Notamacropus eugenii: one gene and its partners. The protein of the gene in region 4 purifies or fractionates together with the protein of the main gene of each other region. This does not show direct contact. Links are inferred from orthologs where the notes say so. Each region holds a gene or a part of one and is shown on either strand. Other genes may lie near its edges. The genes, in order: UXT, GTF2B, RPAP2 and POLR2J.

Evidence for each region.
Region 1: the proteins of POLR2J (region 4) and UXT purify together in Homo sapiens (affinity purification with mass spectrometry; 3 studies listed by BioGRID and IntAct, with this or other methods). This does not show direct contact. The link is inferred for Notamacropus eugenii from reciprocal best matches to the Homo sapiens genes POLR2J and UXT.
Region 2: the proteins of POLR2J (region 4) and GTF2B purify together in Homo sapiens (affinity purification with mass spectrometry; 3 studies listed by BioGRID and IntAct, with this or other methods). This does not show direct contact. The link is inferred for Notamacropus eugenii from reciprocal best matches to the Homo sapiens genes POLR2J and GTF2B.
Region 3: the proteins of POLR2J (region 4) and RPAP2 purify together in Homo sapiens (affinity purification with mass spectrometry; 5 studies listed by BioGRID and IntAct, with this or other methods). This does not show direct contact. The link is inferred for Notamacropus eugenii from reciprocal best matches to the Homo sapiens genes POLR2J and RPAP2.

What each region holds. Positions count from the first base shown.
Region 1 is NC_092879.1:101,807,698-101,814,784, reverse strand, and holds UXT (protein UXT), read left to right. Parts: upstream 1-4,432; 5' UTR 4,433-4,551; coding exon 4,552-4,649; intron 4,650-4,727; coding exon 4,728-4,809; intron 4,810-4,893; coding exon 4,894-4,961; intron 4,962-5,294; coding exon 5,295-5,402; intron 5,403-6,097; coding exon 6,098-6,161; intron 6,162-6,250; coding exon 6,251-6,304; 3' UTR 6,305-6,405; downstream 6,406-7,087. UniProt on the Homo sapiens protein: Involved in gene transcription regulation. Acts in concert with the corepressor URI1 to regulate androgen receptor AR-mediated transcription. Together with URI1, associates with chromatin to the NKX3-1 promoter region.
Region 2 is NC_092873.1:499,140,642-499,148,957, reverse strand, and holds the start of GTF2B (transcription initiation factor IIB), read left to right. Parts: upstream 1-4,989; 5' UTR 4,990-6,137; coding exon 6,138-6,154; intron 6,155-8,316. UniProt on the Homo sapiens protein: General transcription factor that plays a role in transcription initiation by RNA polymerase II (Pol II). Involved in the pre-initiation complex (PIC) formation and Pol II recruitment at promoter DNA.
Region 3 is NC_092873.1:503,848,038-503,855,601, forward strand, and holds the start of RPAP2 (putative RNA polymerase II subunit B1 CTD phosphatase RPAP2), read left to right. Parts: upstream 1-4,395; 5' UTR 4,396-4,509; coding exon 4,510-4,585; intron 4,586-7,564. Other genes in the region: GLMN (glomulin), read right to left, coding at 750-875, 1,987-2,025.
Region 4 is NC_092873.1:51,623,172-51,631,238, forward strand, and holds the start of POLR2J (DNA-directed RNA polymerase II subunit RPB11-a), read left to right. Parts: upstream 1-4,849; 5' UTR 4,850-5,003; coding exon 5,004-5,056; intron 5,057-5,526; coding exon 5,527-5,616; intron 5,617-8,067. Other genes in the region: ras GTPase-activating protein 4-like, read left to right, coding at 1,032-1,152, 2,512-2,576, 3,140-3,588. UniProt on the Homo sapiens protein: Core component of RNA polymerase II (Pol II), a DNA-dependent RNA polymerase which synthesizes mRNA precursors and many functional non-coding RNAs using the four ribonucleoside triphosphates as substrates.

The DNA of each region.
Region 1 (7,087 bases), on a different chromosome or scaffold from region 4:
CCATATAAACGGTGCATTTGTATGAAGTAAGTATAGCCGTCCATTAGGAGGGAAAGAACGTAAAAAATAATAAAAGCTTTCCTGATTTCACAACAAATATTGTTCTTTGTTTCGAGTAGGTATGTTTCTCACAGATATGGTAGTTAATTTTTTTTATTAAAGCTTGAACCTCAAAAAAAATTCTAAACCCATTTTGCATCTTATTTTATGAGCTATTGTTAAATGAAAGATTAATTTTTTTTCTGTTTGAAGTTTCTCTGATTATCAAGAGACAAAAAGAGCCTTGTGTTGCAAAATCCAATTTCTCCTGTAGTTTATGGACAACATTTTCCAGGGGTGTGTGAATGTTCAGGGAGGACTAACCTCTGGTGTGAGCGCTTGTCCAGTCCTTTTCAGGACTACTTATCTACCTTTGATATCCACCTGGCATTCAACTCTCACTTGTGGCTCCAAGAAGTTATAGCAGATACAGCAGCCACAGCCCAGTAAAACCAGGTTGAAGGTAACCTACAGGCCTCAAAACCCATTGGTGAGTTAGGGGAATGTCTGTCCCAAGCATGTAAAGACTTCTGTTGGCAGAATAGGCTGATGAGAAGAGTTTGTTCTAACAGCCATGAAGGTGGCTCAAGCAGCCATTGTTGAGCGCTTAGGGCTTGGTGGGACATCTACGTCATCCATTGTGTTCCTAGCCCTTCACCAATTGTCCTGACTTTTGTCCTGTCACTGGACTTTGATGGCTCTGGAAGAAAGAGTGAGGCTGACAACTTTGTGCAGCTCTGCTTCACTTTAATCCAGTTCATGAACTAGTCAAGACATTACCCTATGATGTCGCTGGTACTGTTTGAAAATGAAGGACACTCAAGGCAAAATGCCTTCCACACTCAGAAAAAGAAATATGGAAGTCATTCACAAAATGTAGCAGATCATGTTTGTGTATGTGTATGTGTTTGTGTATCATGTTTTGATTTGTTATATGATTTCTTTCATTTATTTTAGTCTGACTACATAGCATGACTATAGTGAAAATATACTCAATAGGAAAGTATATGTAGAACCTATACAGAATTGTATGCAGTCGTGGGGAGGGAGGGGGGTAGTGGGGGGTAGGTGTGGGGGGGATAAAATCTCAATTGTATGGCAGTGATTGTTAAACATTAAAAAATAATAATAAAAAAAAAAGAAAATGAAGGACACAAAACAAGCAGACTTGAGCAGCACTACCTCTCTGCAAGTGACTTGGAACTTGGGAAGCAGATCTATTCCTGCTAGTTAAAAACTGACAGCCTACTTAAGGAAATCAGAATATTTGAAATGAATGTCTGAACTTTGTAAATGCTGGTCTAGGACAAACCACATGAGCACAGACTTTCCTAGGGAAAATGTTTCCCAGAATCAGATGACTTTATGGGACGGTTAAACCCATGATAACAGAATAAGAAATATGTTGTTTAAATGGCTATTTGGGTTGGTTGTCAGGAAAAAGCTGGATTAAGGAAATTATGATATGATGCCCATATTTGTTCGTGTATTGGTTTTGTTTTGCTGTTGTATTCAGTGTTGTCCAATATTTTATCTGCCTGTGGAAATGTTTGCCATAACACTGATGCTGAGACATCTAGAAAGGAGATTGACAGAATGTATGAGAATATGGTTACAGAGAGACATTTCATTTCCTTCTATGACCATAAGGAGTTGTAAGAATTTTTTATTCCTTTCTCTCCAGTATTATTTAAGCCACTTTAATTAGAAGGAAAGTCATGTAGCTGGCTGAGATTTTCATAAGACTCCCAATTATTTTGATCTACATAAAAAAAAAATATGGGAATAAAAGAATTCATGCTACCCCAATCCCAGATTTTTCCCTCATTAGTGATTTTTTGATGAACTAGCTCTAATGTGATTGTCTTCTTCAGTTATCTTTGAAATACAAATCACGTCAGCATAATCTTTGTCATGTAAATCTTTTCTTTCTCTTATCAGTGATTCCTTTCTCTTTGTAGCCACTGTAATGCAAAATTGTATTCTTTTCTTTGTGTCTCTGATGAGATTAGAAACTGTGTAAACTTTAGGAAATCTAAACTTTTAAATCTACACTTTGTTCCTGATTGAGAGAGATTTTTGAGTTCTGGACCTATGCTGAAGCATATAAAATAAACCTTGATTTTATCTCCTAGTTCTCTGCTTGTTGAAAAGCAAGACTGGCAGCAGGTCAAGGAACCACTGGCTATTCCCATAAGAAAACAAAGTGGATGCTCATCCATTAGAGAATAACTACATTTATGGTGGTCCATGAATTGGCATGGAGTGTTACTCTGTTGTAAGAAATGATAAAAGTGATGAAAATAGAGAAGTGTGGAAAGATCTCCATGAACTGATGCCGAGGAAAGTGAGCTGCAACAATGTAAGTAGAAGGAGTCATAGAACAATCAAAAATGAAAATTCTCTGTAAAGAACAAGCACAGGTGGCATCCAACTAACTGACTAGTTTGTGCTGTATTTGCTGGTATGTTTCTTTCTTTTTCTGTGAGACACTGAATGTCTTTTTCAGTAATTCCCTTCCCCCAACCACTTTATGATTACAAAAGAGAATTCATTTGAATATTTCTAAGAACTCGTCTCCTTCTCCAATCTAATAAAGCTTGTAGGAGCTTAACAAATGTTCATTAAGTGACTGATAAAGAAGATACTGTTTGCTTTGGTCTGATGTAAATAGCTATCCTAATATGTTGGGGCAGCTAGGTGGTGCAGTGGCTAGAGCATCAGTGCAGGAGTCAGGAGGACCTGAGTTCAAATCTCACCTCAGACACTTGACACTCACTAGCTTTGTGACCTTGGGCAAGTCACTTAACCCCCATTTCCTCATCCTGGGTCATCTCCAGTCATCCTGATGAATATCTGGTCACTGGATTCAGATGACTCTGGAGGAGCAGTGAGGATGGTGACCTGCACAGCCCTCCCTCACTCAGAGCAAAGTCAAGTGGAAGTCATGTTATTTCTTTGATGGCATGGTCTTCTTTGGCAACCATGTACAAACACATGCTAATACATTAAGCATTCTTTTAATTTTGATAATGTTTAATGTAAAATTTTGGAATAATCTCTTTGTTCTCTCTGAAACAAACTCAGAGAATGCTTCTTCCTATGTCAGCAAAAGCCAGCCAAGGCTGACTCTACACTCCTTAGGAGACCTTTAACCTAAGACACTAGATCTTATTATCTATAGACATATACTATGTTTGTTATGGCATATTAGTGGTAAAGAAAATATAGACATCTTGGGTCATAATTTCTATGTGAAACTTTGTCAAACTCTGTTATCTTATTGTATTTACAGCCTATGCAATTAAGAAATTTCTTTCTAATGGTCTTGTTAGTCACTTATGGAGATCATAAATCTGAAGGACACAGAACACTTCTTTGTCCTAAAACATATTTAAGGCCGCCCAATTCTTTGTATTGGTAGCCAGAACATTTCTGGCTCCATAATGCATTATGGTGCCATTGTCTTTAATAGGGAATTGATTAATTAATTAATTAAATCATAAAATGTATGCATTTAGCCTGTTGCCTTCTTTTTTTAAACCAAGTTTTCAGGTCAACATTTTTCATACTAAAAGTGACTTCTGCCGACTGCCCTATCTGATCTAATCCAAAACTGCTTTGTATGCTCTCTGGGTATATATACACACATACAAATATGTTATAAACATAAGTAAAAAAAGAAAGATCTATATGTGTTATCTGTGGAATTGTGAATGGTACAGGGTAGAGATTTTTTTTTTGTTTTAGACTTTTTTCTACACTGATCAGATTTGCTGATTTTCCCTCTTTAGCAAACATTATTTTCTGTATGGGTTGGCTCTCTGGGAGTAGATAGTAGAAGAAATGTTGGTGGTATTAACCAGCCTCAAAGATGTCAGTATTTTTTAATGCCAGAATTGTTGTATGGGGTGGGTGTGTGTGTAGGCGGAGAGCAAGCAGTGCCGGAGTCTGGGTCCCCAAGGTCACCCTCAAGGTGGCTTCCTGGTCCTAAGGAGGTCCCAGTCTTACCAAATAGGTCAGTACAAAGTGTAGTCAATGGCAGGCAATCTGAGGGGGGAAGGCCTAGGGCAGGCCGCAAGGCAGAGAGGGAAGCCAAGATGCTTTTTTATGCCTGGCACAGAGTAAGCGCTTCCTGAATGCTTGCTGTCTTACTGACAGCCCGCGGGCCAGAGAATTTCAAGGGCGGGGCCAAAGCCGCGCAAAGTCTCGAAACCGGAAGGTCACGAGACGAGTCTCCCGGATCTCGGGGGCCAGCAGAAACAGCTGCTTCTTCAGGTCTTCTGCGCATGCTTCAGCCTGGCAGCTCCCACCCACCTGGGAGTGCAAGGCCACGCAACCAAACACGTGACCCAAGGGGCGGGGAGTACGCGGCAGGAAGTGACGCAGAACCGCCAGGAAGTGATGCATTCCCCTTGCGGCTCACCCCCGGAAGTCAGAAGCGGGTCTTTGCTGGCGCGGCTGGCTGAACTGGATTGAGTGGCGAGGGGCCTGGGCTAAGGGGGTGGGAGGATGCGGGTGGCCAGCATGGCGACGGCACCGCGGGGGGTCCAGGCAAAGGTCCTGCAGTATGAAACCTTCGTCAGCGACGTCCTGCAGCGAGACCTAAGGTAAATGCGAGGGGGCGTGGGGCCTGCGGGGGGCGGCAGCGGGCGGGGCCTAGACACCCCTTCTGCCCCCCACCCCAGACAGGTCCTGGCGCAGCGGGAGGAAGTGTACGGACAGCTGGCCGCTTACCTGCAGCTGAAGAACGTCCTGGAGCGGCTCCAGGTGAGCGGGGCGGGGCGCCCGGGAGCCCCTCCCTTGGGCCCTGGGACGGCCTGGCCCGCCCTCTAAGCACCCCCCCTCCCGCAGGAATCGGGGGATCAGAGGCTGCACACACAGGTGGATTTGGGGTGTAACTTCTTCGTGAATGCCGAAGTGTGAGTCCCCCCCTCATCAGTGGATCACCCTAGATCGACCCTGGAGCAGTGTGGAAGGAAGCCTATGGGCCCCTGCCCCCAGCATAGTTGTTAAGTGCATGAAATAGAATATATGGACTCCAAGGAGATCAGTTCCATTCCATTTCAGGTAGCCAGGGTTTTTTATTGTTTGTTTTTTTGAAGTTCACAGACTCTGGCTTAAAAACCCCTTACTCCATAAGGAACACCCCACCTCCTAATCCCAGAACTCAGAGACCATCCCAAATGCAGAGAAGCCCCAGAGGGGCCACGAGGTTCATAGAGAGCCCCTTGAGAAATGCCTCTGTCTTCCAGGCCAGACCCTTCCCGGATATTTGTGGCCCTCGGCCACGGCTTCTTCCTGGAGCTGACATTGATGGAGGCCTTGAGGTTCATTGATCGGAAAAGCCGCCTGCTCACCTCGTAGGTTTTCCAGGGTTTGAGGGGAACAGGAGTGAGGGGGAAAGGGAAAGGGTCTCTGACGAGCTCTGGCCATCTTTATTTTTTTTTAACGGCTTATTTATTTTTAGTTTTCAACATTCATTTCCACAAAATTTTAAGTTCCAAATTTTCTCCCCATCTCTCCCCTCCCCCACCCCAAAACACCGTGCATTCTGATTACCCCTTCCCCAAATCTGCCCTCCCTTCTATTACACCCCTCTCTTCCCTTATCTCCATCTTCTCTCTTTTCTTGTAGGGCAAGATAGATTTCTGTACCCCATTACCTGTATTTATTTGCCAGTTACATGCAAAAATGGATTGTCAATATTTGTTCTTAAAACTTTGAGTTCCAGCTTCTCTCCCTTCCTCCCTCTCCACCCATCCCCACTGAGAAGGCAAGCAATTCAGTATAGGGTATATGACTTCCATAATAGTCATATTGTGTAAGACTATGTTTCCCTCCATCCTATCCTGCCCCCCATTTCTTCTATTCTCTCTTGACTTTGTCCCTTCCGGAAAGTGTTTACTTCTAATTATTCCCTCTTCCCATTTGCCCTCCCTTCTATCATTCCCCGCCCCCCTTATCTCCTTCTCCCCTACTGTCGTGTAAGATAGATTTTCATACCAAATTGAGCGAGCATGCTATTCCCTCCTTAAGTCTAGCTATCTTTTTCCAGGCTAAGTGACAACCTCACCCGAGATTCAGCTCGGATCAAAGCCCACATCCGATTGGTGCTGGAGGTAAGAAGGGCAGGAGGGTGGAAGGTGTGTCAGTGGAAAGCTTATTTTAGAACCTAACTTCCGATCCTATGTACTCTCTTCCCTCGAAGGGCCTTCGGGAGCTGCAGGGGCTACAAGAGCTGCCAGATCATCCAGGACACTGATTAGGATGCTGAGAATTTCCTTTCCCTAAGAAGACTGCTACTGAGGCTCCAACTCTTGTTACTTGAAATCAGAAATCCCTTTAATAAAAGCTGGGAATGAGGCTGGGGAGGGGAGAATGTTTGTTGCCATGGAGATGGGGCAGCCTTCCTCCCTACCATTATCTTCTCTGCAGTCGCAGAGCCACGGTCTCTGTTCTCTTCCTGTTTGTTCTTATGGTTGTGTTCGAGCTGGCCCCTTTCCTCCGCCTCCTTCCCCCCCCCCCCCCTCCCACCTCGGTGGGCGCAGACTGAAGAAATTCATCTAGCTGCGCTGGGCCTTTTTCTGCGCAGGCGCACAATCTGTCTCCTTAGTGGCTTTAGATTTGCCACTCTAGTTGGTCCCGCCCTTTGGTGGCGGCTTGGTTGCTCTGACTCACGGGTCCCGCCCCTTCGGCCTTCCCTTACCACGTGATCGATAACGTCAGCCAGACCCCGGTTCTTCTATCCCGGTGGTGCTCTGGGCCGGCTCCGGGCTGCTCTGGGCCGGGGCAGGCTTCGGTCGGTCGTAGGGGGAGGGAGGGAGGTGGTGTAAACCAGGCCGGTCCTGGATAAGAGGCTACAGAGTGGACAGGGGCCGGGATCGGTGTCAGCAGAAGAAGGAGGAGCTAGGGGCGGGAGGGTGGCTGCTACCGGGCTGGGACTCCCCCATGGAGCCCCCGCTCCCCGGAGCTGCCATCAGGTTGCTCACAGGTGAGGCAGGGATAGCCTGGGAATCGGGAGGGCATCTGCTGCAGGAGAAGGGCG
Region 2 (8,316 bases), about 450 Mb from region 4:
CCTGGATTTCTGTAAGATTCCTTTTTAAGCTTTTTGTAAGTTTCCTTTGTAAGTTTCCATCAATTATATTCTTGGTGTGTGTAGATTACCATATGAAGATTTTGTAGCAATGAGAAACTAACCATATTTGTCAACAGTTACTGACATCTTGCTTTCTTTCCCATTTTTTGGCAATAAAATACATGATTTTCCCAAGAATTTAGAACTGATCCCTCAGCAACCTCAAAATCTTGATCTAGTCCAGCTGTTGTTGTTTTTGGCTTCTTTACTGCCATTTTTATTTTCTCATTTAACATAGAAGGCAGTGACGTTAAAATCTAAATGACGCTGACGGAGAAGACAGTGTTAGAGAAATTCTTAAGGGTTTCTTATTTTTCTTCTGTTCATTGTCCTTCCAGCTTTGTAAAGTCTTTAAGATGATCTGGTTTCCTTGGGTTTCTTCTGTCTCTTCTGCAAAATAGTTTTTCACTCCACTGCTTCTCAGGACTCTGGGAGATGATAATTGCTTACAATCTCACATATAGTGCTTAGCCAAAAAGTTTATATTCTAAGTCAGTGACTAAGAATTTGAGAGTTTCAATAAGTATTAAAGGCATTGTTTTTATTTCATATGTTTCTACCTGGCAAGGAAATCAAACATTTTCTGGTTGAGGTACTTCCTCGGTCTTTTGGACAATTTGTTATGGTAATCAATTTACATTGCTTAAATTTCCTTAGTAATGGGGACCTCTTGTGTCTATGTCTGTCTTTAAACCATCTCTCATTTTGGACATCAATAACTTGTTGAAACAAGTCAGGTTGGAGTTATCTTAATTGCACCCATGTTATTTTTACTTTTAATTTCATACGAATTTGAATCTTCTAAGAACTTCATGTGCTAGTTGCGTAAGAATAGCTGATTCAGAAATGACTCCCACATTGGTGCCCAGTCACTTTTTCTATTAAAATATAATCACATTCATTGTTGGTGACATCATTTGGAGTATCCTTCCTGACTTTTCTTGAAGCCTGTATCCATTATATGGAGACATGAGAATTCAACATACACTGGAAGCCTTGGAGTTTTCTTTTCATTTCTTACTTCTTGCTTACTTTCATTTCTTACTCCTGATCTGTGTTCTTTCCCTTCTCTTCTTTCTCTCTTTGAAATAACGCTCAAGTCAGGAGTGGGGAACCTGTGACCTCGAGGTCATAGGTTGCCCACCCCGGCTTAGGTGTAAGAAATGAATTTTTAAAACTATACATATATGCATACATGCATAGAGAGATCTATATATGTATAGATATATTTGTATATATCTCTAAATCACCAAGTATTACTGTACATGTTGATTTAATATAGAGGGGTTTCATCAAGGTCTTCATAGAATTTTTGTTCCTCTCATTCTCTACATACATATCGATGCAAAAATTGCCATGATTTTCATGGTGATTTTTTGGGAGGCACTGTTTACTATGAGTATTATATTACAAGATGACCAAATTTCCCATTAATTATCAGGGCAGCTAGGTGGATCGGTGAATAGAGTGGTGGGCCTGGAATGAAGAACATCTACTAGCTGTGTAACTCTGGGCAAGTCACTAAACCCTGACTGCTTCCAAAAAAAAAGAAAAAAGACATACCCCTAGTACCATCTTCATGTAATCCCCCCCCAACTGCTAGTGTCCTTCTCAAACGACCCTATATTTAACTATTTTGTATATATCTGCATTTATTCAATGTATGTGTGTGTATGTGTGTGTGTATATGTGTGTGTGTGTGTGTGTGTGTGTGTGTGTGTGTGTGTGTGTACACACAGAATGCTGGGCATGGAGTAAGGAAGACTCATCTTCCTGATCTCAAATCTGGGCTCAGATTCTTACTAGCTGCATGACCCTGGGCAAGTCACTCAACCCTGTTTGCCTCAGTTTCTTCACCTGTCAAATGAGCTGGAGAAGGAAATGGCAAATCACTCAAGTATCTTTGTCAAGAAAACCCCAAACTGGGCCACAATGAGTCAGATGTGAATAAAATGACAACAATAGAAAAACAAAAATCGAGTAGAATTGTTTCCAGGGATTCCTTATGCTAGCTGTTCTATAGATCTTTTCTATTTTTCAACCAGTATCAGAATAGTTTTTGTGTGTGTGTGTGTGTGTTTGGTTTGTTTGTTTTGGAGACAACTGGGGTTGAGTGACTTGCCTAGTGTTTGATGCCATATTTGAACTCAGATCCTCCTGATTCCAGGACCAATGCCAAAACAGTTTTGATGATGATTCATTTGTCATATAATTTGAGGTCTGGAAGTTATTCTCCCTGAATTCCTACTTTTTTTTTATGATTTCCCTTGAAATCCTAGGTCGAGGCCTTTGGTTCCTTCCAATGAATTTTATTGTTTTGTCTTGCTGTATAAGGCACACCTTGGTGGTCTGACTGGTAGCTTTCCCATTTTTTTACAGTCACACAGTTGACTAGAAGAGGTGGAAAATCCTAAAGACCCCTCACTGCCTATTGTTTTCTGTCTATTAAAAAAAAAGCATTTGATTTGAAGAAGCAGACTCCTGCCTTAAAGGTTGTCTTTCTCTTGGAAAAGGAAGGAATCTGAGCTTTCTGATTTTTCATCCAAGGTAATTTCTACTACCTTATTCATGCTTTCCTCTATTGCCCAAGACAGTTCTTATTCAGGGGAAGCAAGATTTTAATAAATTTGATAATACCTATTATTAAATAATAAAATGGGCATATTTTATTGACACTAATGAACAGAATTATATGGTGGGCAACAAGCTCTGTGTAGGCCCAACCTATTTTTCATTAGTCTTTACACACAGAGCATACCCATAATAAATATAGGACTGAACTAAGATTGTACCATGTTGCTCTCCATTGTAACTGGGGCTATGAAAACATGGCACAATGAAAAGACTGTTGTATTTGGAGTCAGAGGTCCTGGGTTTGAATTCAGCTCAGCTCTTTACTACCCATGTGAACTCTTAGAAATCTCTACACCTTCCCAGGGTCTCAGTTTCTTCATCTGTAAAATGTGGAGTTTAGACTAGCTGGTCTCTGAGAGTCCTTTCAGTTCTAAATACACGATACAGCTTGGTGGAACATGTTAAGGACAGTGAAGGGGTCTCCTGAATTTGCCATTTTGAGTTGCCATATTTTTCCAGAAACACTGAACCTAGAATATCCAAGAGGCCCTGAATGCGTGAAGGACAAAGCTCCCTGCCTCCACATCTTCCCCAGCTGATGTAATTTGCTGTTTTCATCCCAAACTGTGATGGGGTGCTTGGGTGCTTGTGCTTTTATCCCAATTTCAAGATACCATTTCTCCTTAGTTTCAAAAAACACTATCCCTGACAATTTTCACCCCAGCCCTAGGACACTATGCCTAGCAATAACTCATGAGTGCGCCCCAGTAAAACAAACTACCTTTCCCCACAATTACTCAGGAGTGGGCCCCATCACAAGAACAAGCTGACCTCTGAAGAAGTTCTCTTGTAAAAACAGGACTATCTTGTAACCACCGAATTGCCATGTATTGATTCACAAAGTTATCATATTCAATCCAGAGGTCAAGTTATAGACATCAACTCTCAAAGCTACCTTGCTACTGATAATGTTTAATATAAAATTTTGGAATAATCTCTTTGTTCTCTCTGAAGCAAACTCAGAGAATGCCTCTTCCTATGTCAACAAAGCCAGCCAAGGTTGACTCTACATTCCTTAGGAGACCTTTAACCTAAGATACTATCTTGAATAATGGGATAGACACATACTATGTCATGGCATATTAATGGTAAAGAAAATATAGACATCTTAGGTCGTAATTTCTATTGAACTTTGTTTACCCTTTCCTGTCAGTTATCTGTTTAGGGCAGGAAGCCTGCCACTCACTAGTGGTGGGATTTCCTTCCTTATCACCGAGACATATGTTTACCCAGCTGGAATTGCAAGGCCTGACCAACATTACTTTGTTAATTGTCTTGTCTTACTAAATTTATGATTTGTTCAACTAGGAGAGTTCCTTTCTCACAGCAAAATGTATATAAGCCAGAAGATTTCTGCACTGGGTAGCCAGAACATTTCTGGCTCCATAATGCATTATGTTACCGTTGTCTTTAATAGGGAATTGATTAATTAATTAATTAAATCATAAAATGTATGCATTTAGCCTGTTGACTTTTCTTTAACAAAGTATTCAGGTCAACACTACAGACATAACAGATCAAAAATACACCCCTGAGAAACCCCTTCCCCCGGTTTCCAATAGTGAATGATGCCTGTGAACAAGGTTATAAGTTATCATTTAATTAGCATATCTGCTGGATAATTCACTAGTTTTCCTATATTAGCTTTAGCATCATTCCTGTTAAGTGGCAAGTTCCTTAGGGAACACTGCCTAGCATATTGGCATTACAATAAACCTTTGTCACCTTGACTTACAGAATACTTGAGTCCATGAATTCATTCCATATGACCCTGTCCAGTACTCAGGTCTTTGGGGATCCCTGAGCCCCTTAAAGTGCATCAATTGGACTCTCTGTGTGCCCTTGGGAGTCAAGACAAGGGGCCAGTCAGTCTTCACTAGGCTGAGAAACTGCTTATGTCGCTGGGACCCTGTAGATAAGAAGACCATTCCATTTTCATAGCCTAGAAAAGAATGGGGCTTTTGCTCCTCCCCTTCAAGAGCGGTTTTCTCCTTTTCCCAATTTTCCTGCACCTTTCCCCCTCCCTTGCCATACCCCTTTAAGTGGAGATATCTGGTATCTCCTCCTTCCTTTGTCCTGCTGTTATAAATATGCAAACTTCTGGAAGGTATCCTTCTTTCCTTTGTACCAGGGCACAAACTTTCTTCTTATGGCTTCTAAGGTGCTCACAGACTGCAGAAGCAGGTAAGAGAATCTCGCTGTCTTCTATTTAAGCTAGATATTAAAGAGTTATGTAAAAATATGATAAACTGCCACTTGTCTCCCTAATTTTTGTTTTGGAAAATCGTGTTTTTTTTCATAAAATTATGCTTTTACAGGAAATCTTTACCAACTCCTCTTAATTCTGGGGTCTTCCATATATATGCATATATATATATTTATGTATATATATATATTCTTAAATAATTATTTTTTTATCTTGCACAGTTTGCTTTTTAGATAACTATTGATACGCTGTTTTCCCATTAGTTTGTAAGATCTTTGAAGGCAGGGACTGTCTTTTGCCACTTTTTCTGACCTCAGTGTTTAGCGCAGTGCCTACCGCATACTTGGTGCTTATTAAATGTTTAATGATAATATAATAATACACATCACAATATTATATTTATTGTTCAGTCAATGTCGATGAGGTTTTCTTGGCGAAGACATTGGGGTGGTTTGCCATTTCCTTTTCCAGTGTGTCCTTTCATACACATGAGGCAAAGACGGGTTAAGTGACTTGCCCAGGGTCACGCAGCTAGGAAGTACATGAGGCTGGATTTGAACTCGGATCTTCCTGACTCCAGGCTTGGCCCTCTACCTATCCACTGCACCACCTAACTACAGACAGACACACAGAATTAATGTTATTTATAAATATATAATTATATAGGGTTGAGTGATTGATGCTCACATGGAATGGGTTTGTTTTTATTTTATTAATAAACTTGTAAATATTTTAAAATTTTATCAGTTTAAATTTCTACTGACGGATATAAGCCACATAAACAAAGGTTTGGGGAGGTCCTCGATGATAAAGGCTCCTGAGCACAAAAGCTGCACTTACCGCGTCAATTTCAGGCATGACGGTGCGGGGCAGCCCCGGAGGACGTAACCCGGCTCTACGCACTTCAGCGAAAGCTTTTCTCGTCCGGTCGTTTCCGGCTTTCATTCAGGACGAGCCTCACTCAAGTCGAGTCAGCTGACTCCCAGGGGAGGCTGAGTTAATTACACCCGAGGGGCGCCGGCGGAAGAAAAGGCGAAGCCCGTGAGCAGTGGAGCTTCTTGGCTCCTCTCCCGTTCCGTAGTCCGCGCGTCTTACTACGGCTGCGCGCTGTCTGCCTATAAAAGCGGCGCCGCCTGCGGCTTCCCGGAGTTGTCCTTGCGCTTCTCTCTGTTCCGCTGTGCTGTTTTTCGTTCCGCCTGGGGGTCTCATCGAAACCTCCACCGCGGCCGCCGTCAAGATGGCGTCCACTAGCCGGTCAGTAAGTCCTGCTCCGACTCGCCGGGAGCGAATCCTCGGTGGGGCGGCTTCCGCGGGGCTCCGCGGCGGCGTCGCGGGGGAGGCGAGGCCGAGGAGGCGGGGCCGGGCCCGGGCGCGTCCGGGGGGACGCGGGGGGTTCTCTTCGCCCGCCCTGGGGCTTTCCTCGGACGCTTCCTCTTTTTCTCTCCTGGCCTTGGTCGCGGCTTCTCCGCCGGCCGCCCCCTCCTCGGGTCTCAGGCTCAGCCTAGGCCGACGGCGCGCCGTCTCCGAAAGCAAACCTTCCTACCCCAAATCCCTTCGGGCCTTCTGGGGGAGTCCCTCGGTGGGGTCGGGGGGAGCGCGGCCCTCGCTCCGATGTCGCGTCGACCCTCCTCCGGACGGGCTGCCCTTTGCCCCGGGCGGGTTCAGTCCCCAGCCCAGCCTCTGGTCTTCGGGCCCAAACTGAGTCCTGCGGCTGTTGCCTTTCCCACGGGGAGACCCTGCCCCGGGGCCGCCTGGTTCCCCCCCTCGTCGTGCCCCGCCGCCCATCCTCCGAGCCCGGCGGGCGCCTGCCGTCTTCTCCCGAGCACTCGTAGGCCACTGGGGACTCCCGCCGGCTGCGGGCCGGCCCGGCACCCTTGTTTACAGCCTCCAGTTGGGTCACCCTCGCAGTGGGTGTGGCCGTCAGGTGAGGGTGTGGGGGGCCGCGGGATGGAGACGTCAGGTGTTGCGAGGGCCCTCGGACGGAAGGGAGAAAGAAAGCGCTTCTTTACCATAGATGCTTAGGTACGTTTCGTCATCTTCTGTAACATTTAGGGCAGAATTTAATTGAAAATACATTGGAATACACTAGGGACTGCCCTGCCAATCAAAGGACGTACTATGGTGTTAAGTCACTGTTTACTCTTTGTGGATTAAGGACATCCGTTTCCCCTGAATTAGCACCTTCACCCAAGAAAGGAAGGAAGATGGGGGGAAACCAGGATCTGTTCTTGTTACTTCTTGGAGCTGTTCAGTTTTTGTAAGAGCTGTGTTCTCCAAAAAGCAGAAGAGTTATGTTTTGCGTTCAGCTTTGGTGCGGCAGAAGCCTGTGCTGGGCACTGGGGAAGAGTTTCTTTGAGACCTAGGCCCTGCCTTCCTTGGGTTGGATGCAGCCTGGAACCCAAAACAAGGTTCGGAATCAGCTCTGACTTCTCCTTTTGCCGGAGAATCGTCTGTTTCAGAGTCTCTTTTTCCCTTTCCCTTCTCCCTTCCCCATTATCCTTTTATGGTGGTATAATTGTTATTTTTTATGCTTTTATGTTCATTTTAGGTATTTATAGGTCAGGAAAGCATTTTCATGTTTTACTGGTGGAGAGGGAAGAGAAGGGAGTACAAAGCTTAATAGTATGACTGAAGGAAATTTAAGTTTTGCAGAAATAATCAGAATCATCTTTTTATGTTACATTGATGCAAAATTGGGATGTAATATAGTGACCCACGAGTCAGGAGATCTGAGGTCACTAATCCTCACCAGACCTCAGTTTCCTCATCTGTAAGTGAAGGTGTCTGACGAAATGATTTCTAGTGTTCCTTACAGTTGAAAAGTCTGTAAAACTTTGAAAATTGAACCGTTTCTCTGTTAAGCTTCAACCTGAGTTGGTATGTCCATTCTTTGGGAATATAAATTCTGAAACCGGCCCTATGATAATCAAAATACTTGATGCTGTGGCCTGTGAAAGTCTTTAGTTACCTCAAGTAACATGCTTTCGGTAACCAGAACGTTCGCCCTAAGAATTGGATTATGGAAGTTTTTTATTCAGTGTGATACTGACTGTTGAGAAAATATTTTTTATATTTGTCCTAAAGTGGTTTTATGAATGGAATAGAAGTGGTGAGGCAATTATTATTTGGATCTTAAGGGAATGGGGAAGGCAGCTTTTAAAACATGATGAGTGCTTGAACCTTTCTGATTAAACTGATTCGTATTCTGTCTTTAAGAAATCTTAAGACTAAAAGGTTCAACTTTAACCATGAACTAGTATGCACACAAATATTTGATTACACATGAGCAGCACTACTAGCGTCACAGGTGCCAAAATTAACCGACTTCAGCTTTACTTATCTTTTTCTTTTTCTTTCTTTCTTTTTTGGCAACAAGAGAATCGACCATTTGGCAGAAGGTGAAACCAGATTACTTG
Region 3 (7,564 bases), about 450 Mb from region 4:
TACAAATCAAGAACCATCTCCTCCAAGAAACATCTCCTGAAACCCTCTACCCCCAGTGAAAGTGATGTCTCCCTCCTCAAAGTTCTCCTAGTTCTTCACCTGGACTGAGATTTCCTTTGCATTGGATTTACTCACTCTTGTTTTGGTTAGAGTTGTGCCTTGTTCTTTCAAAATTTTTTCATAAACAGTATTTTGTTTTTATCCCACAAGTGACTTTCTTTAAAATGAATAAAAGAGTATAATATTAATTTATTGTTTGTCTGGGTCCCTGAAGTCAGGCCATTGGAGTTGGGCTATATTTTGTATAGTGAAAACTGTACGAATACAGCCCAAGCTTTAAATTAATCCAAGTCTCTACCTAAATGCCACCAATTTTGTTAAAAAAAACCATAGGCATGAACCCTCGCTCTTAATTGTTTAATTTTTTTTAATGAAGTACACAGTACAAAGTGTTTTAAAATCATTACTAAAAGAGTTCTACTTGGCAAACGGAAAAAAAAAATTCAGCTGAATCCCATTTTTAACACTGTTTACCAAGATGTGAATTTGTGCAACCGCTTGGAAGGTTAGGCTTAAGCTATTATGCTAAGTATCCCAATGGTATTAGCTATTTAGATGTACACTAAGAATAGAACGCTCATGCAATGCTCATTTAGTAATCTGGGCAGGGTTATCCAGGGTATCCGTCGGCTGCACTCTATCTAATAAAGTATAAAAAGTTACACATGATAGTAAGTGACAACACTTACCTTGTTCTTTTCATTTTCTAAAATGTCTAATACCTGAGCAACGTGCCCTTCTTCTAAACACTTTTGGCCTGCTAACTGAAAGAGACCAAAATCTTCCTCTTTGAAGTTCTCCTCTTCTAGGATTTGCTTTAGAAACAACAACAAAACCCGACAAGTTAGCATTCATTTACGTGATTATATAATAAATTAAATTATGACTTGATTGTTTAGTCTTGATCTACACCCATAGTACAAACACATGGGCAGAATTAATGACTTTCCTAAACAGTATCCGAATAAACTATCTTAGAATCCAATGTACTAAAATTCAGAAAAACTTAGGAAGCTAGAGAAGCAATGTGTGTCTGGTATCTCCACTATCCTTCTCCCACCCCTGGGAGTATTTATTCATAGTGGGGGCAAAAAAGCAACACTGCTCCAAGAGAAAACCCAAACGTCCAGCCTTGCATACAAAGCATTCTCTGGTACAAACAAATAACAATGTGGAAGGGAGAGGTTTATTTTTGTTCAAAGAAAATTACTTCTGAACAAGTTGTAGTATATGAATGTGATGGAATACTATTGTGCCATAAGAAATGATGAACAGGAAGACTTCAGAGTGGCCTGGAAAGACTTATATGAACTGATGCTGAGTGAAATGAACAGAACCAGGACACAGTAACACAGTAACAGCCACAGTGTGCGATGATTGTTTCTGACAGACTAAGCCCTTCACAGCAATGTAAGGACCTAAAACATTTCCAAAGGACTCATGGAAAATGCCATCCACATCCAGACAAAGAATTATGGAATTGGAAGACAGACTGAAGCAGAATATTTTCTCTTGTGTTATGTTTTGTTTTGTTTTGTTTTTTCTCCCATTCATTTTAATTTATCTATGTAACATGACTAATGTGAAAATGATTTAATAAGAATGTACATGTAGAACCCGTATAAGATTGCATGCCAAAGATTGTATGCCATCTTGGGGAGGGAGAGCAGAGGGAGAGAAAATTTAAGACTCATGGAAGTGATTATTGAAAACTGAAAACAAATAAATTAATTTTTTAAAAAAGAAAGTAAGTAGATCCATTTCTCAAATTTTTTTGAGCTATGTCAGGACTCTCTGGTTTTATGGATGTGGAGTCCCTTCTCTGACACAGATGGCAGCCCCTCTGTTCCTTATTCTAGACCATCTTCATAAGTTGCTATGACTGCAATAAAATAAATTAAAAATTAAAAAAAGAAAATTACTTACACATCTCTTTACTATGGACTGAAGTTCTTCCACAGCCATTCCTGAGTTTTTGACTTTTCTTTCAGTTTTACTGTAGAGAAACACTAAAAAGAAAATAACTGCTCAATTTATATAACCTGCTTTAAGATTTACAAAGGACTTTATATATATATGTATATACACTATAAATATATTTGTTAATTATTTGATTGTTACAACAACTTGTGAGATAGATAGTGGGTTTATTATTATTTCCACTTTATAGGTCAGGAAACTGAGGATGTTGAAGGGTAAGTGATTTGACCATTATCACGTAGTTGAGATAGGAGACTTGACTCCAAATTGAGCATGACTCTATACTCAATGTCAGTGGTGTCAAACTCAAATAGAAATGAATCCCTCCCAGCCAGCCACATTAGAAAACCACAAATTAACATTATTTATATTATATTGTATTTTTCTTTATTTTGTTAAACATTTCCCAATTATATTTTACTCTTTTTCAGCCTCACTCTTGAGTTTTGCAAGAGCCTCTGGCCTTGAGTTTGACTGCTCAGTGCTATATATACCACACTGCAATTAACTGATGAAGATATTTTATTATTATATTAAGGAGTAGGTATATAAATATACTTCTGAATTAAGTATTATTATGAAGAATCTAATAATTTTAAGAGTTTAGTAAAAATCATCGCTGAACTTTAGCAGTCTTTTTATGGAAATATTAAAGATGATAAAACAATAGTTGGTATTTTAAAAAATGAACTTTTCATGTATTTTCTAAGTTTTCCAGTTCCACATTTACATATGCCTACTTTTTTCTGAGATGTCTTTACTTTCCAGAGGAAAGGGTAAGCATTTTGTAATGCAAAAATCACTCCAAATACTGAGAAATCCCAGGTCTAATTCAGAACTCTGGTTCTCTGTTAGCGAACCCATATGGGGTCCTGACACACAGTTTAAGAAGCACTGGGCATCCCTAGTAGAAAATATTTAAGAAGCCCTGCTCTACTGATAGGGACTGGGGGGGAACTCTTTGATCATTCTTGGATTCTACACTTCTACAATTCTATTGGAGATTCCACTATTCTAATGTCACGGGCATCAGAGCATCCCCACTTACAGGGTCATAGTCTAGGTGCAGAAGAGGCCCTAGAAATCCCCTGTGTCAACCTTCTCATCCATCAGCACTGGGATAGCGCTGCTCTGGGATTCTGAAGCCACAGCACTCAATCCAACAAGCCTTCCTTAAGGGATTACGGGGCCTCGGGGCTAAGCTCTGAGGATACTTAGACAAAAAAAAATGCAACTAGCCCTTCAGGGAATCTATCATCACCTACTCTCCTGATCACCCCATCACTCCACCTCAGCATCACCTATACTGACGGCCAATTCCCTCAGTTTACAGAGAGGGAAACTGAGACCGGAGAGCTTTAAGTAATTTCACCCCTTGCTGGGACGGAGGGAAATCGAATGGATAGATGGCTTTTAAAAGAAGCCTCTCCTACTTGTGGGAAGTCAATCAGTCAATCAATCAATCAATCGAGGATCACTGGGAGAAGACAGACCAGAAGCAAGTTCACGAAGCTCCCCCTGCACGTGCTTGGCTGCTGGGCATCGGTGACATTGACCAACTCCTGAAACTGACGCCTGTGAACTAAGTGCCTACTGTGTGCTGGGCCCGAAGAGTGCGCTGAGCAGTGCTCGTCCTCGGGGGCTGGGGGGAGGGGCTCGGAGGCTGTCCCACCGGACGAGCCCCGTCTCCCGGCCTACCCGCTCTCTCCGCTGGGGGCCAGGTGGCTTAGCCGAGATTCAAGCCGCGTGTAGGGCCCCCCTCCACCCCCTAGGCACCCTGGGCTGGGCCGCGGCCTGGATCGAGTCCGGTGACTCCCCAGCTCAGGCCGCGGGCCTGGGGCTAAAGCCCTGCCCCGAGCTCTCCCCAGCAACCAGACCGCCGCCGCAGCCGCCTACCTGCCCCGACCCTCTCCAGGCAGGCCTGGGCCTCCTCCTCCGCTCAGCCTGGCCGAGGCCCCGCCCCTCCCCGCCTCCCGCCCCGCCCTGCCCGGCGCGAGGACCAATGGCGGAAGGACCCAGGCCCCGCCCCGGATCCCGCCCCCATCTGCGCAGCAGGTCTCAGGCTGAGGATAGGAGGAGGAGGAGAAGGAGGAGTCGGTGGCGCTGTCGTCATGGAGGATTGAGGCCCTGCCTCTGACCCCGCCCCCATCCTGCCCCACATCTCACCTCCCACGGCGCAGGGAGGAGGTGGAGCCCTCGGTGAGACAGTCCATGGTTAAGGAGCTGAAGTCCCGCCCTGACCCCGCCCCCTGCCTCACCTCCCAGGCTCTGGAAGGAAGAAGTAGGAGGAGCCTGTGATGTCGTCATGGAGGAGGAGCTAAGGCCCCGCCCCCCGAGCCCATCCCAGGTGGCTCCGGGGAAGGAGGAGGAGCCGGGGGCGGGGCGATCATGGCGGACGAACGGAGGCCCCGCCCCTGACACGCGTCCCGGGCGGCTCTGGGAGAAGGAGGAGGAGCTGCTGCGGCCGACATGGAGGACCAGCCGAAGCCACGGGCCCGTGGCGGCCCCCGGAGCAGGAGCTCCCGAGGCGCTCGCAAAGGCGCGGGTAAGAGCTGGGGCCCAGGGGCCCGTCACGTCACGCCACCCGCGCCGCCCCACGAGGGACTGGGGCGAGGCGCCGAGGTAGAGGGGCCTGCCCCTTGTGGGAGGTGGGGCTAATCAGGCGGCCCGGCTACCCCTCTTCAGGATGGGGATCCCCCCTTAGAAAGAAGGGAACCCCCTTAGAGAGATGAGAACCCCCTTAGAGGATGGGGACCCCCCCTTAGAGAGAAGGGAACCCCCTTAGAGAGATGAGAACCCCCTTAGAGGATGGGGACCCCCTTAGAGAGAAGGGAACCCCCTTAGAGGATGGGGACCCCCGTTAGAGAGAAGGGAATCCCCTTAGCGGATGGGGACCCCCCCCTTAGAGAGAAGGGAACCCCCTTAGAGAGATGAGAACCCCCTTAGAGGATGGGGACCCCCTTAGAGAGAAGGGAACCCCCTTAGAGGATGGGGACCCCCGTTAGAGAGAAGGGAATCCCCTTAGAGGATGGGGACCCCCTTAGAGGATGGGGACCCCCCTTAGAGGATGGGGACCCCCCTTAGAGAGAAGGGAACCCCCTTAGAGAGATGAGAACCCCCTTAGAGGATGGGGACCCCCTTAGAGAGAAGGGAACCCCCTTAGAGAGATGAGAACCCCCTTAGAGGATGGGGACCCCCGTTAGAGAGAAGGGAATCCCCTTAGCGGATGGGGACCCCCTTAGAGGATGGGGACCCCCCTTAGAGAGAAGGGAACCCCCTTAGAGGATGGGGACCCCCCCTTAGAGACAGGGTGATCCAGACCATTTCTCCCCTCTGCCTCTTTAGAAGACTCTGGTCTCCTTAGATTCTTTTTTTAAACATAAATTAAATTATTTGTGTTTAGTCTTCAGCATTCACTTCTATAAGTTTTAAATTTTCTCTCCTTCCCTTCCCCCCTCCCCAAGACAGCTTGCAATCCGATAGAGGGTCTCCATATACATTCTTGTTAAGCGTATTGTCACATCACTCATATTGTATAGAAGAATTAGAACGAATGGAAGGAACCATGAGAAACAAAACAAAACAAAACAAAAATAGAGAAAATCGTCTGCTTCCATCTGCTTTCAGACTCCACAGTTCTTTCTCTGGATGTGGACGGCATTTTCCATCATGAGGCTTTTGGAGTTGTTTTAGGTCCTGGCATTACTGAGAAGAGCTAAGTCAACCAAAGTGGGTCATTGAACAAGGTGGCTGTTACTGTGTGTAACGTTCTCCTGGCTCTCCTCTCCTCACTCAGCATCAGTTCAGTCTTCACAGGTTTTTCTGAAGTCCTCCTGCTCACCATCTCTTATAGCACAATAGCGTTCCATTACATTCATGTACCACAGCTTGTTCATCCATTCCCCAGGTGATGGGTATCCCCTCCATTGCCAGTTCTTGGCCACCACAAAAAGAGCTGAGCTGCTATAAATATTTTTGTGCATGCAAGTCCTTTTCTCATTTTTATGATGTCTTTGGTATACAGCTCTAGAAGTGGTATTGCTGGGTCAAAGGGTATGCACATTTTTATAACCCTTTGAGTGTACTTCCAAATTGCTTTCCGGAATGGTTGGATGAGTTCACAACTTTACCAGCAATGAATTAGTGTTGCAATTTTCCCACATCTTCCCCAGCATTTATAATTTTCCTGTTTTGTCATGTTAGCCAATCTGATGGGTGTGATGTGGTACCTCAGAGTTGTTTTGATTTGCATTTCTCTAATCAATAGTGATTTAGAGCATTTTTTCATTTGACTTTAGCTTTAATTTCTTCCTTGGAAAACTACCTGTTCATATCCTTTGACCATTTATCAATTGGGGAATGACTTGTATTGTTATAAATTTGACTCATTTCTCTATATATTTTAACAATGAGGCCTTTTTCAGAGATACTGGTTGTAAAAATTTTTTCCTAGTTTTCCTAATTTTCTAATTTTTTGTGTCACTCCTGACCTTGGCTACATTGGCTTTCTTTGTGCAAGAACTTTTCAATTTAATGTAATCACAATTATCCATTTTGCACTTTATAATGTTCTCTGTCTCTTGTTGGGTCATAAATTCCACTGTTCTCCATAAGTCTGACAGGTAAACTAAACGTGCTCTCCTAATTTGCTTATATTATCAGACTTTATATCTAAATCATATACCCATTTGGACTTTATTTTGGTATACGGTATAAGATGTTGGTCTATGCCCAGTTTCTGCCATTCTGTTTTCCAGTTTTCCCAGCCGTGTTTGTGAAATAGTGAGCTCTTATCCCAGAAGCTGTGTCTTTGGATTTATCAAACAGTAGATTACTATGGTTCCCCTTAGATTCTAAGGGGAACCTGTAGCCTTGAGGCCACATGTGGCCCTGTAGGTCCTCAGGTGCCACTCTGACTGAATTCAAACTTCACAAAACATTGTTTTCATGTGGCCTCGAGGCCACAGGTTCTCCACCTTGCCTTAGAACATTCACTATCTAAGAGTGACATTCCCACTTTAGAGGACTCTTGCCATTTCCCAAAGGGAATCTAGCCCATTCTCATGCCATCTGCTTTAGAAGATTGTCTGTGTTAAGAGTTTACCCCTGTTCCCTTTGAGAAGCGATCTGAGGAATACTCTGGTATCTTTCTGCCTTCCCTAGTCTGTGAGATTGTAGAATCATAGATCTAGTTCTGTAAGAGCCTCAGAGACCCAGAGTCTAACTCCTTCCATTTGTAGATGACAAAAGAGGCCCAAGTCAGCTCACAGACTCACCCAAAATCGCAGTCACAGTAGTGAGTTCTATCCACCATCTAGGGACCTGTAGAGAGGTGCCTTTGAGGCTAGGAGATTTGGGTGAGAACAGGATCTGTGGATCATCCTGTGTGGGAGTGTAAGAGTGATGGGGCCTTACAGTCTCTCACCCTTTTTCCCTCCTAGGACCTCTACTTCCACTTCTTCCTAACAGGGCATTGCCAAATGAGGAGGTTTTGGGGGAGGATGCCTTGGCTCTGGGTAGGGGC
Region 4 (8,067 bases):
CCCTCTGATACTCACAGGGAGTCAGCTGGCTTCGGGGCAGGCCAACTCATGGCCTGGGGCTATACTGTACTGAGGAAGGAAAGGAGGGCTACTAGCATTTATGAATCTCCTACTATGTGCCAGGCATTGTACTAAGCACTTCACAATTATCATCTCATTTGCTCCTCCCAACAACTCTGTGAGTTATGTGCTATTGTTATACCCACTTTACAGATGGGGAAACTGAGGCAGGCAGCAGCTAGGTGATTTGCTCAGGGTCTCACAGTTAATAAGGATCTTAGTTCAGATTTGAATTCAGGACTCCAGGAACAGTGCCACTATGAAGCAGCCAGCAATCTTTTCCTCCTTATAGACTTCCTTATGTGCCTGACCGCCTTTCCAGGTTCTTAACCTCTTTGTGTGGGTGTGGTGGGTCTAAGAATCCCTTCTCAGAATAATGATTTTAAATGCATAAAATAAGCAGGATTGCAAAGGAAACCTGTCGTGTGGAGAATTTTCAGAATGGGCTGATAGGTGGCGCAGTGGAGAGAGGGTGGGACCTGGAGTCAGAAAGGACTGAGTTCAAATCCAGCCTCAGTCACTTTACTAGCTGTGTGACCCTGGACAAGTCACTTCACCCTGTTTGTCTCAGTTTCCTCCTCTGTAAAATGAACTGGAGAAGGAAATGGCAAACCTTCCAGAATCTTTGCCAAGAAAACTCCAAATGGGGTAAAAAAGAGTCAGACATGACAAGTGCCTGGAACCCAGGTTAAGGGCCCCTGAAGAACCTCCAGCCTTGGTTTTGTAGAAAGAAGGAGAGTTTTGTCTTTAGGTTACTTCTGAGTCACAGAGGGGGAGCACCCCTGCCAGCTGACGGCTGCCACATCTATTGGTTTCTACTCCCTAGACCTTGTCTTTATCCCACCCACTGGCCCACCCTGGACAAACCCTCCCTGCCCCCATTAGTACCTGCAGTGCTAAACTTTGCTCTTCCGGTCTCCCCTCTCCCCGTTCCCTCCCATCGGGGACACCTTGTCTCTTCTGTCTCACAGGTCTGGGCTGTGACAAAACCCGAAACCGGGTGACCCTGCAAGAGTGGAATGACCCCCTGGACCCAGACCTGGAAGCGCAGCTCATCTATAGACACTTGTTGGGTGTCCAAGACACAATCCGGTGAGAAGGACATCTGTGATCTCCCTCCCTAGTCTTGTCCAGGAGGGTGTTGCCAGAGGAGGGTACCCTCCCAGAGTAGGGCACCTCCCCAGCAGCACGTCTCCTGACCACCTCTCCCTTTTCCTAGACCTGGTAGGCAGAGGGAACCCAAACTCTTGACTTCTTTGCCTTCCTGAGCCTCTTGTTTCTTTTCTGACCCAATTTAATTGATTTAACCAATATTCATGAAGTGTTTCCAATGAGCAAAGTCCTCTATTAGGTGCTGGGTCTTAGGGGACCCTTGGGTGAGATATTGGGAGGTGAGGGGATGAAGAAGGGAGAGGAGCAACTCAGAGCAAGTACCTAAGAAGCTTTGACCAGATGGCTCGGAAGGTCCTCCAGTTATCTGTGCCTCATTATGGCCATCCAAGGACAATGATTAGAAGTAAGGCCACCAGGATAGCTGTGCTAGACTGCTAGGCTTGAAAACAGGAAGAACCCGGTTCACATCTTTGCTTGATGTGTGACTATGAGGGAGTCTCTTAGCCTCTCTGGGCCTCAGTTTCCCCTCCTATAAAATGAAGATGTTGATCTTGGTAGCCTGGGAGATCTCTTCAGGTTCTGAATCTGTGGTCTGGTGCCCTCGGTTCTTGATACGATGACTGCGACTTATCTTTTCATGAAGAGAAGTGGCACAAGAGATGTGTTCCTCAGTTTCCTCACCTGTTGGATCCTCCTAGAGCTGAAATTTTAGATTCTAATTCTGTCATTCAGGGCTTTTCCCTTCCCTGGGAAAGTGATAGAAGTTGATGTTTCAGAGGGTCTGGGTCCTCATTCTTCCTTCAAAGTTTAGAAGAAATGATGGGTTTAAACAGGCTTCTTCATGAGAGCAGGGCAGGAGGTTCAGGATCCTATTCTCTCTCCCAGGTCAAGCTGTGAATCAGGACTCATGGGGGAAAGAATTGGATGCTTGGTAGGGTAAGATCAAACCGAGGTGGAAATGGTTTAACACCAAAGAGAGCATGGAGCTTGGCATAAGGTGCAGAGTGCTGGACCTGGGCATAAGGAGACCTGAGTCCAAATCCTACCTCTGACCCTTACTAGCTGTGAGACCCAGGGCAAAGTATGTAACCTTTCAGAGCCTTAGTTGCCTTATCTGTAAAATGGGGAAAATAGTATTACCTACCTCACAGGGTTCTGAGGATTTTTGTGGACTTAAAGTGTTAAATAAATGTTAGCTGCTCTTATCATTACTAATTTACTACTACTATTAATATGGATACTACTGAAGACACATATTAGGCAGTCATCCACAGATTCTCACAGGAGTAAGAGGGCAACCTTGGTCTAAAACTTGTCCCTTTTCCTTTCCCTCATCAGTGAAAAGTACCTGGAGCTGACTGCCCTGGGGGCTGCTGGGAATATCCCCAACATCCAAAGTGAAGGTAGGACCCTGACAGTCCCTCCCAAACCCCCCTCTTCTCATTCCAGAACAAGCTAACACAGTCCTTCCCAGGCCAAGGGAGGTAGTTTGATGAAGAATTCTGATTCTAGAGTCAGAGGACCTAGGTTCAGATCCCACTTGAGACATTTACCTAGGCCTCAGTTTCCTCATCTGTAAAATAATGGAATTGAACTAGATCTGAGGTCTCTTCTATGATTGTTTCTGTGGACAGATCACTTAAAGTTCCCTGGGCTTCTGTTATACCTTCTTTAAAATGGGGGGGGTGGGGTGGGGGTGGACAAACTGAACTCCCAGGTCCCTTCCAGCTCTGATCCTATGAAAGTCTGGCCCCATGGAAGGTCCTGAGGTCCTAGGACTCTGTGGTCCTTACCAGCCACTCTGGGGATGGTCTTTCCCCAGCACCTGAGGATGGTCCCACCCAGCTGTTCCAGGTACTCCGGGACCTAGAAGATGCCCACCGCTCTGGTCCTCTGACTACAGTAGACCAAGAGAAGAACTATCTCTTGGAGTTGCAGACGTGAGACTGAACTCTGCTTCCCTCAGGCCCAGGCCCTGCCTCGATGCCATCCATCCCACCCTCTGCCTCCTGCTGGGACTGTTTATTCCCAGGAACTCCCTGTCATGCTGGTGGCCTAGGAGCTCTGTGGTTTGGAGATCTGCCTGTGGCCTGGGTGAGCCCCTGGTCCCTGGCCCTGTCCTCACTTCTGCTCCAAAAATCAGCTTTTGGCTGCAAACCAACACCCCTTTCCCCATTTCCACGAGCACTTCAGGGGCCTGAGCCTTGTCCTGGGCTGCGCAGCAGCGCTGTTCCAACGTGTCAAGAGAGCAGCAGGAGGTTGAAAGCGCCCCTCGCTGGGGAGGGGAGCAGAGACATCCATGTGTTGGTTTCCTGGGATGGGTCACTGGGGCCCCAGGATCGGCAGTCCTGGGCCCTCCTTGTCCCCCATCCTTGGCTCGCTCTGGGTTACATCCTTGATTCTAACATTCCATGAGGTTCACAGTCAGGGAGCTGGGCGCTGGGGGAGACAAAGGGGTGCTGTGATGACTGATTTGGACTTGGTGGTTCTAAGGAGTCTCTGGAGTCTGTTCTTCCCTCTGCTGACCCCATGACCGGTGCCTCTGGTCTCCTAGCTGTTCTAGGGAGGAAGTGTGGAGAGCCATGGCCCCTGGGGAAGGCAGGTGGAGAAAGTAGAAGCTGTCACTTCTGCCCCCTTCCCCCCATCCCAGCATGAACACTGGGCCTCTGAGGCTCCTGGGGCTCCCTAGGGCCAGGACTCTGCATCCAGCTTCTTGATTCAGCCCCTGGGGTGGGAAGCCTCTGGCAGCGCCGCTTCCTCCTGTGCCAGCAGCCCCTCCCCTTCGCTGGGCATCACTGCAGATTACAATAAACTTTCCTTTACCCTTGTTGGGCTGGGGCTCTGGTCCTGTCTTTGGGGGGTGGGGAGGGGCACCGAGCATGTCTGGGGTCTGAGGGAAGGGGCACCTACTGTGTGCCAGGCACTTTCTACAAAGGTTATCTCACCTCACCCTCACAACAACCCTGGGAGGTAGTTGCCATTGTTATCATCCCCATTTTACAGACGAGGGAAACTGAGGCAAACAGGTTCCGTGACTGGCCCAGGGTCACACAGGGTCGGAAGCCTGACTTTCGTCCCGACTGCAGGCCCCGGGCACGCCCGCCCCGCCCCCCACCCCAGCGCTCCGCCCCTACCGCTGTGCGCCCCGCCCCGCCCCCACCGCTGCACGCCCCGCCCCCACCGCCTCTGGCAGTAGCCGGAGGCCTCCAGGGATTCCGAGGAGAGAGCACGCTGCGGGCGGCGCATCAGGGGAGTCTTCCTCCGGCTTGGGAGGGGCTCGCTCAGGCCCCTGGAGGCCCGCGTGGGGGAGGCTGCCACCTTGCGGAGGAAGCAGGGAAAGCAGGAGGAGGGGGCGCCGGAGGAGGAATGCTGGGACACCATCTAGCACTGGAAAGGCCGATTCCCACCCCTTAGTTTAACTGAGAAGGAAACTGAGGCACAGAGGGGGAGGGGATTTGCCCAAAATGAGGCAGCAGATCAGAGCCGGCGTCATCCGCTTCTACCAGCGTCCAAGACGGCGTCCGAGCCCGGGCGCTGGAGCCCCGTCGCCCCCTAGCGGGACGGGAAGAACACAACGCCGGACACGCACGCGCACACACGTCTACTAGTGTTGTCCCCTCCCCTCCCGTTGGCCGAGCGGCGCATGCGGCCATCTTCCTCTCCCCCCTCTGGCTCCGCCCCTTCCTTTTCTGTTCCCTCTAGCGGCGGAGTGCGTTACTTCCTGTTCCGCCGCGGTCGCGCATGCGTGAGCTCCATTCGGAGCCAGGCGTGCTCCGGAAGCGGAAGCTGGGTAGGCTGGGGAGTCCCCGAGCTAGCGGCGGCGGCAGAGAATGAACGCGCCTCCGGCCTTCGAGTCCTTCCTCCTCTTTGAGGGAGAGAAGAAGTGAGCGCGGCCGCGGGGCGGGAGGGCCGAGCGGGGCTGCCGCGGCACCCTCGGTAGGAGGGGCCTCAGCCTCCTCCGTGTGATGGGGGTAGACCTTTCCCCGGGCCTCAGTTTCCCCGCCTGTTCCCCCTCTCAGAACACGACGGCCCCTTTTTGGGAAGACGTCACGTGTGGTAGCGCCCCCATTGTACAGAGGAGGAAACTGAGGCCGGCAAGTGTCGGAGGCGGGAGCCGACCCCGGCTTTGTGCCAACTAGTGACCTAGGAAGCAGCAGGGGACGCTCGTCCTGGGGGGGGGGGGGGGGGGCCTGAGAAAGCGCCACAAAAACGCGACAAGGCGCTGTTTGGGCAAAGAACGGGCCGAGCTTCGGTCCTGGGTCCGCAGCGAACGCCTCCCCACGTGTGCCCCTCCAGAGCCGGGCGGGATCGGGTGGGCAGCCCGCGCCCTCACCGTGCCCCCTTCCTCCCCAGGATCACTATCAACAAGGACACCAAAGTGCCCAATGCCTGTTTGTTCACCATCAACAAGGAGGACCACACGCTGGGGAACATCATCAAGTCGTAAGTGCGGCGGGAGGGGGCGGTGCCCAGGCTCCCCCGGGCAGGAGGAGGTGCCAGGTCTACCCAGGTGACCCAGGCCTTGGGCTGGCGCCGCCATCCTCCTTTCCTGAACACTTCTGGATCTTAGGGTCGTGTGCCAGGGAAGAGCGGAGCCCTCTTCATGCTGAACCCCTGAATTCCCAGTTCAGAACTTCTCTCCTTATTCCAGAATTCTGCTTGCTCACTCAGTAAACCCAGACAAGTTCTCCAAACCCGGTCCTGCAGCTTCCGAAGCAGAGATTACACGGCCCTGGAGCGTTTTCTGCTTTGTTTAATTTATTCACATAAAACAAAAACGTTTCACTCGTCTGGTAAGAATTCGTCTTCTCAGCTGTACTCAGAAGCAGAGCATCTTTGCTGCTCATCTCCCTGCCCGCCTTTAGGTCCCTTCTGTCCTCTGCACTTAGACCAGGGAACTCTGGGGAAAGGGGGAAAGGTGAAGCTAAACCTCCTTTCATCCGTTGTAAGCGTTAACCTTGAATTGCTCAGTACGAAAAGGGAGGAGTTTAGGAGACTTCAGTTAGGTTGGGAGAGCGTTACCTGGCACCCAGACTAGCATAAGTCAGTCTTATACTTAGTGTTAACTTGGGCTGCCAGATTGATCTTCCCCAGATATTGTTTATTCCGTTTCCCTGCTCAGACACCTTCAGTAGCTCCCTGGTTCCTATTGAATAAAACTCCTAGGTGGCATTGGAGGCCCTTTTGTTTTTCGGTGGTTTTGTCAGTTGTGTCCAACTCTTTGTGAGTGTTTGGGGTTTTCTTGGTAAAAGTACTGACTGCAGTGGCTTGCCATTTCATTCTCCACCTCATTTGATAGAAGAGAAAACTGAGGCAAATATGGTTAAGTGACTCGCCCAGAGTCACTCAATAAGTGTCAGACACCAAATTTGGACCCAGGAAGATGAGTCTTTTGGTCCAGGGCTCTGCCCACTGTGCCACCTAGCCACCAGGTCTGATCCGTAGGCTACATTTAAAATAATTTCTTGTTGACAGCTTTTGTTTGTATGTAACCTCTATTTCTCTCAGACTAAAGTAACATATCAAAAAAGTCTGGCCTTTTATGCAACATTCTGCATCTATGGTCTCCCTCCTCTGCAAAGAAATGGATTTTTGGGAGGGGCCAAGCTTGGTTATTACAGTATTACAGCATTAGTTTTCTCTTATTTTGTTCTTTCTCTACACAGTGTTGTAATCGTGTATTCTGTTTGCCTGGTTCTGCTGGCTTCACTTTGCATCAGTCCATTTGGATCTTCCCATACTTCTTATTTTCATCATGTTACTGTCTTATAGCAGAAGCACTAATTCACTTCTCTTTATGAATCAGTTTATTTAGCCATTTCCCCATCAATAGGTCTCTCTCTTGTTTCTCGTTCACTAGTGCACCTTAGCTGCCCTTTTAGGCTTATTTCCCTCCTCATCATGTTGAAACCCTTTGCAGCAGTCAGGCCAATTTCCTCAAGATCCCCTCTCGGTGTTGTGTGTATTCACCTGCCTCTGACTTTGCCTCATTCAGCTTGCCTGGTATGTCTTCCCACCCCTCCTCCACATCCTCTCTGTGTCCTCTTAGATCCGATACTTGTAGATCTTTCCTGGGCACCGACAGGGAATATTAAATGCCTTTCTATTCCCCACAGCATTGCCACATCCTATGCCTTGCACACAGTTGGTAACTCACTTAAATTTTACACTAAGTCATATTGCTTACTGGCCAAGTACATGACTATCATTCCACTTTGGTCATATTCAGAAGTTTAAAATCAAGAAATATTTGTTAAGGTCTTTATATAGAGTATTGTGGTAGATAGCCGGAGAGTTAGAAGGATTCGTTAAAAAACATATCCTGCTCTTGTGAAGACTGTGGAGAGTCTAGCAGTGTCTCAGATGCCCAGATCACTTTAATGCTGTAGAATACATAAATCCTTTAGAAAGCTGCAGACCAGCGCTGTCAGGTCTGACTCACATCATCACAGCATGAGGAGGTCAGAGAGTCTAGGGGAGGCGGTATTTGGATTGGGCTTTAGAGGAGGAAGAGGAATTCATCTGGCAAAGAAGGAGATGGAAGAGAAAGTACTCCAGGTTTTGGGGACCCAGGCAGGAAGGGAGATGTGTTCTGGGAGCCAAGTGGGGCTGAGAGGAGTGAGATAAGGGTCAGGACTCTTGGAATGGCATGAAGGCGGGGTCTGCAAGTTTGAGCTTGGCTCTCAGTGAACAGACAGGAAGGGGATGAGTGTTTCTTGGCTACTGCATTCTGAGCTGTGTTGCCTTCCTCCACTTTGTCAGTGAATTCATTTTTTCCTCCATGAAATATCCAAGAGGCAGCAGTATAATGTAGTGGACAGAGAGCTGGCTTCGACACCAGGAAGATCTGGATTCAAGTCCCACCTTTGACTCTGAGCTAGTCGGTGGCAGAGA